2 linked regions of the Ovis aries genome follow. The protein of the gene in region 2 interacts with the protein of the main gene of each other region in a pairwise test. Links are inferred from orthologs where the notes say so. Each region holds a gene or a part of one and is shown on either strand. Other genes may lie near its edges.

Region 1 (3,746 bases), on a different chromosome or scaffold from region 2:
CAGACGGAACATCTCCCCTTCCCCCGGGCCCAAGCCCACCAACCGACTGGAAGGTTGTGAAGCACGGCCCCCGCCCCCAACTCCACGAACCAACTCATCCAGGCTAGCCCCTAAAACGACCAGTAGCACCTAACGTCACCCCTAAAATGACCAACGATAACTGCAGCCTCATGAAGGCCCACCCTGGCCGACCACTTTCCACACACAACCTTATTCAGTCTTCTCTGAAACCCCGTGGCATGGCTACTCTCACCCACTTACAGGTGGGACATCGAGGCTCTGAGGAGTTAGGAACCCAGCCTGAGGTCATGCTTTGGGTAAATGGGACTCAGGATTGAGCTGGAGCCCAGGCTAGCCACCATCCCGCTCTGCCTCTCCAGTTCTTACCCTCCTGCTCTGAGCTCCCTGGACCGGATGCCGTATCTGGGGCCTGTTCCCTCTTCCCTTCCTCAGCCCTAGTTCCCCAAGCCCTCCAACCTAACCTATCTTGAAGGCCGAGAGCCCAGGGACTTGGCTGGCTCCCAAGGCCAAGAATTTTAAATTAACCACTGTCTCTTGAGCAATAACTGGCTGGGGAATTACCTGGAGGTCCAGTGGTTAGGACTGTGCTTCCACAGCACTGGGCCCGGGGTTTGATCCATGGTCGGGAAACTAAGATCCCGTATTCCACACCATGCAGCCAAAAGACAAAACAAACAAAACACTAACAGGCCAAGATGGCATTCACGGCCGCTCCTCGTGTGTTCAGCTTTCAGCTCCCACGCTTCCCACCCTCACATCAAAGCCACTGCTTTCTCCACTGCCCACAGAGCAGCAACATTTCTACCGCTCTCCCAGGGCCCACAGACCAACTTCTATAGACCAGGGTCCAGGCCGATCCCTCTCGTCTTCGGCTCCATCCCTGCAAGAGTCCCAGACCTGTCCAGGACTCAACCCTGCCATCCATCTCTGGAGCCACTTTCCACCTTCCCAGCCCTACAGATAAAACACACTCCTCCAACTGCTCTTTCAGTTCCCACACAGAGCTGACCTTCTCTAGAGAACTTTTAACCTATGCAGTCGCTCTCTCCCCACCACACCTCAAGCCATCAAACTTCTCCAGCGCTCTCACCTTCCACCGCCAGCAACTCCAAGGCTTTCTCGGGGCAGGCGGGACAGGGCCAGAGGAAACAAAACAAGGATAGCCCTCCCAGAGCCAGGCTCCAAAGTTCCTCTGCTCCTGAATGACTGACAATGTTCTGCTTCCCTTTTTTTTTGGGGGGGGGGGGGGAGTAGGGGAGGAGAGGAAGAGGAGGCGCACGGTGATTTTTCTTCCTAATGCCAAGATCGAACACCTCCCTGGACTATCTCAACCAGCCTCAAACTGACCACCAACTAGCTCCTTTTTCTTGCAAGTTTGTTTACCTTGCCTCCCTTTCCCAGTCCCAGGACTGACTGACTCCTCTACCGCCAGGCTCCAAGTTTACTCCCTGTCCTCCTTTCAGCCAAGGAAGTTGAGTCACGTGACCATCCCCAGCCCCGAGGCTTGCAGACCGACAACTGTAACCTCCTTCTGTCCCCATGGGCCCATCAAACTCCTCCAACTGCCCTTTCAGCGACAACGTTGACCCACTCTTCCTCCCCTGACTGTTCTATCCTTCTCTGAGGAAACTATGAACTCAAAGGCTACTTGCCCTCCTAATCAATCTCCCAAGCCACTAAACTTTCTTTGATTGCTCACCGTCTTAATTCCTCAAACGATCACCAGCAGCGTCCCTTGGGGAGGGGAGAGAGGCAGTAACATACACCAGCTAATGTTCACCTTCCCAACCCAACAGCCACTCCCTCTCTAACACCCTCCAAGCTCTAAACGGACGACTGTCTCCTTAAATCATTATTAGGGGCAACTTATTGAGCTCCACCTCTGTACTGGTGGCCGCACGACTCCCAGGTCCCCAACCAGCCCGCCCCCGCGCTCCAGCCGTGGCTACCATGTCTCCAGGGGTCTTTGGGTTCCACAGCTCCGGACACGATATCTTCGTCGGAAGGGAACGTAACGCGCTTGGCCGCAGCCTTGAGGCGCCCGTCGGCCGGGGGCGATGCGGGGCCGGGAGACGGGGCCTTGGCGGGGGCCTCCTCGGCTTCGCCGTCCGCGCCCGGCCCGGGCGGCGCCTCCTGCGGCGGGATCTCCATCGCCGCCGCCGCCGCCTCCTCACGGGGGCCCTGGGGACATGCCCCGGGCCCCGGACTTGTCTCTCCGGGCCCTCCCGCCGTCCCGGGGCATGGGCTCAGCCACTGCTTCAGGCGCCGACTCCGTCCCCTCTCCTGGTCGTCGTAGTCGTCGCCGCCGGGAGCTCGAGCGCGCCTCCCCCGAGCCCCGTGAGCGTCTGCTCGTTCGCAGCCGCACTTTCGTTAAGGACCAGTGAGCCCGCCGCATACACGAAAAAGCAGAAAATCAATTTAAGTTATTTTCAGGTAGAGTTGTCTCGTGCGTTGTTAAAGCGGGTACCAAAAAGCAGAAAGAGCCACGGGAAAAAGAAACGTGAGTAGTGAATCTGCAGAGCCGGAACTGCAGAATACGAGAGGCGGGGCGAGATAGACGCCGTCTCCCGGAGCAGCGCGCAAGCGCGAACCTAAGCCGCTCCCCCGCCCCACGCCTCCCCGCTTCAAAGTAGATAACTAACATTCAGGCCCTCACACATTCGTCACGAGCTCAGGCAACGGAGAAAGGAGTGGAGGTGATAGGAATAAAAACATATGCTTGGTGAGGCTAGGCCAACTGATATGGAGAGAAATAACGGGATGGAGAACTTGAAAGGCTATAGGAGTTGTGTTGATTATATGAGTACAGGTGATGGATGCTGACAGAGGGAACCTCTGGCTGGAGACAAAGCCTGTCTCCATTTGCTGGTTAGGCTCCAGCTTTCCATTTGCAGACTGCAATTTCATCAATGACCCTCTTTGGATGTTGTGGTTATACAGGCGGTAAGTCGTGTCGGGCTCTTTTGTATAAATTGTATTTTATATAAACTTAAAAACGGAAATGTGAGTCCATAGGTGTGTTCTAGCCTTAGTTTAGCTTTTTTTTTTTTAAGAAAAGAAAGAGCTGGACGAAGGAAGAAATTCCGAAAGCAAGGGACGAATCTTCCAACCGAAATACCCGGCGATGGAGCAGGTAGATCTCGAAGCCAGTAGCGAACAAGCACGAACTCAAGCCACGCCCCCACAAGGGCTGACTCAGTCGTTTACTATTCGCCTCCGCACTTTCTCCGCTCTATCCCAACCCAACCACAACCCTGGGTGGGCGGAGCTAAAGCCAAAAAAGGTGACTTGGGGAGGAGCAAGTGATGTCGTTGCTAAGGCAACTCGAAATCTGGGCCCAGGAGTCGCCAGAGGTAGCGTTGTGAATGAACAAATGGGAGCTGAGGCCCTGCACAAGCCTCATTCAACTTCAGTGGTTGCCGCACCTTGACCACTGAAGATGACCAAAGCAAATCACATCTATATTGAACGGAATCTTCACTTACATTCTTAAACTCATGGGACTACAGAGGGGGCAGAAATTACTTTTTAAAACAATCTACTGAGGGAATTCCCTGGAGGTCCAATGGTTAGGACTCTGCTTCCCCTACAGGGGGGATGGTTCAACCCCCGGTATGAGAAGTAAGATCCCAGTGTCATGGCCAAATAAATAAAGTAAATCTGCTGAAAGACTGCTAGTAATGGGGCTAAGTGTGTGAAATGGACAGCTAGGCTACAAAGCTGGG
Region 2 (3,746 bases):
AATCTACACCATAGTTAGCTTAGCTGGAAATTGCAATCGCCCTCTAATTTTCATCAGCTTACATGTGACTTCTCCAGGTTGTTAAAACAATCGCCTTGCTCTCTAGTCTGATGCCAATGCTAGATACTACAAAAGAGGAACAAAGTGGACAGGTTCTCTGGTTTGGTTTTGACTTCAAGCTGATTTAAAGACGACACTTAAACAGGATTATTCTAAACTCAATATTGCGACTTGTGACATGACAGGGAGAAAAAGTCACCTGCCTCTAATTTAAGGTGACACGATGCATTTTGATAGACATAATTTTTTGTCTGCCCTTACATTATCGTTTTTTGAAAAGTCAAATCAGGAAAAATAAAGACTCTTTAACAAGTCACTGAACACAAGCAGGACTATTCAACTTTCCTCTCCCCTAATAAAATAAACCGAAGTCCAGAGACCGCGGTGTACACCTGTTAAATCGTCAGGGACCGGCTGGATTTTTTGTTTTTTTGTTTTTTTTTTCTTTTTAATGATAACTTATCTGACTGTTACGTGATCTATTCGAAAACATCTTTCCTGCCCAAATGACATATCCGGGAAAGATGCTGCATGTCAACAATTCTTCTCTGGGCTTGGACACCTACTGAGCTTCTTTCTCGGTCTTACAACAGCCACCACCACCTTTTCTCCTTCTTTTTGTAGGAGGGGGGCGGAAAAAGCAAACCAACCCCAAACCACCACGACCATTGGTCCGGGTGGGTGTCCGCACGGCCTCATGGAGACGCGTCCTCCCCCACCCGGCCGCCAAGCCACAGGAGAGGAATACCAAAGAAGGCTCCCCGCTCCCCAAGTGTCATTGTTTGCTAATTTCCTGATGTGCCCTCCGACTTGTTTACGCGGAATCACATCCTGCCTCCCCCCTCACCCCCAGCCGCACAACTTTCCTCGCCGCCCGGTGTGTGTGCGGCCGAAGCCCGACTCGGGGAGGGGACCCGGGGGGGTTGGGGGGGGTGTACCAGGAGCCCCGGCCCTCGGAGTTGGCCGCAGCGCGGGCCGGGGGCTGTTTACGCGGCAGCCAAGTCCTCCCTCGGCCGCCCGCACGCCCCCCGCCCGGCCCGGCCCGGCCCCGCTTACCTCGGTTCACCAGTTTGAAGCTCTGGGATTTCCTGCTCCGCTTCCTCTCCGAGAACTCCATGGTGCGGCGGGCGGGCAGGGCAGGGGCTGCGGCCGGGGGCGGCCAGGCGGAGGGACAGAGAGAGCGGCGGCCGAGGCGGCGGCGGCGGCGCTGGCTCTTGTCACCCGGCAGCGGGAGCGCGGGGACCAAGGTCCGTCTCTTGGATCCGCAGGGGGGAGGCACAAGCAAGGGAAAAACCACTCGAGCCCGCCCGGGGGCTGCGGCCGGCGGGGCCGGGCAGGAGGCGCTCTCCCGGGCGAAGTTGCCCCCTCCTGGCCGCCGCTCAGCTCGCCCCCCGACCCCGGCTCATCCCCGGCTGCCGGGCTAGACGCCGCCGGAGCCGAACTTTCCGTTGGGGAGCGAGTTGGGGGCGGGGAGGGCGGGCCGGGGCTGCCGGCGCCCTGGGCGCTCGCCGCGGGCCGGCCTGGGTACAGCTCCGGACGCGGCGGCGGCGGCGAGCGCGGCCCCGGGGACGCGGCGGGCGGGCCGAGGGCGGCGGCGGCGGCGGCGGCAGGGTGCGAGCCGGGTCGGGGCGCTGACCGCCCCCGCGGGAGGAGGGGCGCCGGGAGGAGGCGGCGCCGCCGGGACCCCGGGGCCACCTGCTGGCGGAGCGCGGCCGCCGCCATCCCCCGGGGCCCGGGCAGCCGCCACCCACCGGCCTGGCCGCGCGGCGCCCGGAGGAGGAGCCAGAGGCCGCGGCGCTGCGCCCTCGGCCCGGCCGGCCCACCCGCCCCCGGGGACCGCCGTCCCTGCCAGGCGCTGGGATCCCGACGCCGGTGCCTCGGGGGCCGGCGAGTCGGGCTGCGGCTGCCCGGGGGAGCCTGGCTCCCGGCTCCGAGCTCGCCTGCATCTTCCCGGGGCCGATCTGGTTCTCAACGGCTCTGGGTGTCGGCGACCCTTCTGGCCAGCCCACTCCTCTCGCCATGAGATTCAGGGTGTCGGAGGGCCAGACACTGGTTTCAGGCAAGTTTTAGGGGGGAAGAAAAATCAACCAAAACCCAAAAACTTACCCATCTGAGCTCTGCAAGGAAAAGAGATTTTAGAATTTACTGATCAGACGAGTATGGAAAAGAGTGAGCTTCAGTTCTTTACTCCAATGCGAGGAGGGATGTAGGAAGATTGGGAGTTAAGTTCAGGGAGAGAACTTCGAATGTGGGGCTTGGAGAGGGTGGATAGGGTGAGCAATGCGACGTCAGTGGGTGCCCCACCTCTCTTCTGACTCTTAGAGAAGACATGGCCAAGGCAGGTGCAGAGGGCTCTGCCATTGGGTGTGCTAAAGCCAGAATAATCCGCAGGAATGGAAAGCTTGTGTTAGTTTTATACTGTATCCTTTTCTAGGGAGCTAAGAGTACCCCATTGCTTTTTCAAAACAACTTTATTGTGGGGATGGAAGAGAATTCTATACCAGCGGGGACTGGCAGGTCAGAAATGTGATCGGATAAGCTTGAAAAGTACCGCCACCAAACTGGTCATCTCTAGACGCAAATACAAAGAGAGTAAAGAGATGGACGTCGGAACCAGCAGTGTGACTAGTTCAAGTGACCTCAAAAGAGTGGAGAGGAAATAAAGGGGGAGAATATGTTGATAAATGTGGTAACACTGCCAGTCTCACGCAAATGAGGAGGCAGCTGCTCAGGACTCACTCTTTTTCTTTTTTTATAATTTTGTGTATTATTTATTTTTGGCAGTACTGGGTCTTCCTTGCTGGGCAGGTTTTTTTCTAGTTTTGGTGCTCAAGCTTCCCTTTGCAATGGCTTCTCTTGATCTGGAGCACCAGCTCAAGGGCTCCATAGTTTCAGTTCCCAGGTTTTAGAGCACAGGCTCAGTAGTTGTGAAACTTAGTTGTTCCTCAGCATGTGGGATCCTCCAGTATCAGGGATGGAACCCGTGTCTCCTGTATTAGCAGGCAGATTCTTTACCATGGAGATACCAAGGAAGCCCCAGGATCCTCTCTTATTTAACAGGAACACCTAAGAGAAAGAGGTAAGTTGGAGGCAACCTGCGTAAGCATATACACACCAGGAAATCAAGGAACCAGATAACCCATCAAACAGCAGAAGCAGAGCCTGGTATACCTTCTGAGGTCTTATGTTAGGCTGTATGTATATATGTAATAAGTGGGGAGGCTGGTTTCAAAGTGAGAAAAAGGACAGTTCAGGGGACTTCCCTGGTGGTCGGGTGGTTAGGACTCCGCACTTACTGCAGGAGGCTCAGGTTCCATCCCTGGTCAAGGAACTATGATCCTGCATGCCAGTGCAGCAGGGCCCCAAAAAACAAACAGAGGAGTGTTCCTTCTGTTCCCTAAAATGAATCCTTAAATAAGAGGTTTTTAATCTTTTGCTCAGTCTCCTTGGAGATTATATTCAGAGTTCAGGGCTTTTTCCTAGAAGATATGTGTAGGACAAACAAAATTGTATACATTTTTTGGAGTTCTAAAAGGTAGCAGAAAGGATTAAAGTGATAACAAGGATTGGTCAACTACTCTATTTGGTTTTCTACTGTTTTGTTTTGTTTTGCCTCTCTTTCTTTAAAACCATGTACCTGAAGGTGTTTTGAAGATTTCTAAAGAAACAAAGCACCTGATTCTGTC

The links.
Region 1: the proteins of BEND7 (region 2) and PPP1R37 interact in binary tests that used the Homo sapiens proteins (3 or more experiments, as listed by UniProt). The two-hybrid records come from large-scale screens. The link is inferred for Ovis aries from reciprocal best matches to the Homo sapiens genes BEND7 and PPP1R37.

The regions. Positions count from the first base shown.
Region 1 is NC_056067.1:52,552,317-52,556,062, reverse strand, and holds the start of PPP1R37 (protein phosphatase 1 regulatory subunit 37), read right to left. Parts: upstream 2,320-3,746; 5' UTR 2,173-2,319; coding exon 1,971-2,172; intron 1-1,970. UniProt on the Homo sapiens protein: Inhibits phosphatase activity of protein phosphatase 1 (PP1) complexes.
Region 2 is NC_056066.1:27,562,634-27,566,379, forward strand, and holds the start of BEND7 (BEN domain-containing protein 7), read right to left. Parts: upstream 2,311-3,746; 5' UTR 2,167-2,310; intron 1,589-2,166; exon of another isoform or gene 1,316-1,588; 5' UTR 1,178-1,315; coding exon 1,117-1,177; intron 1-1,116.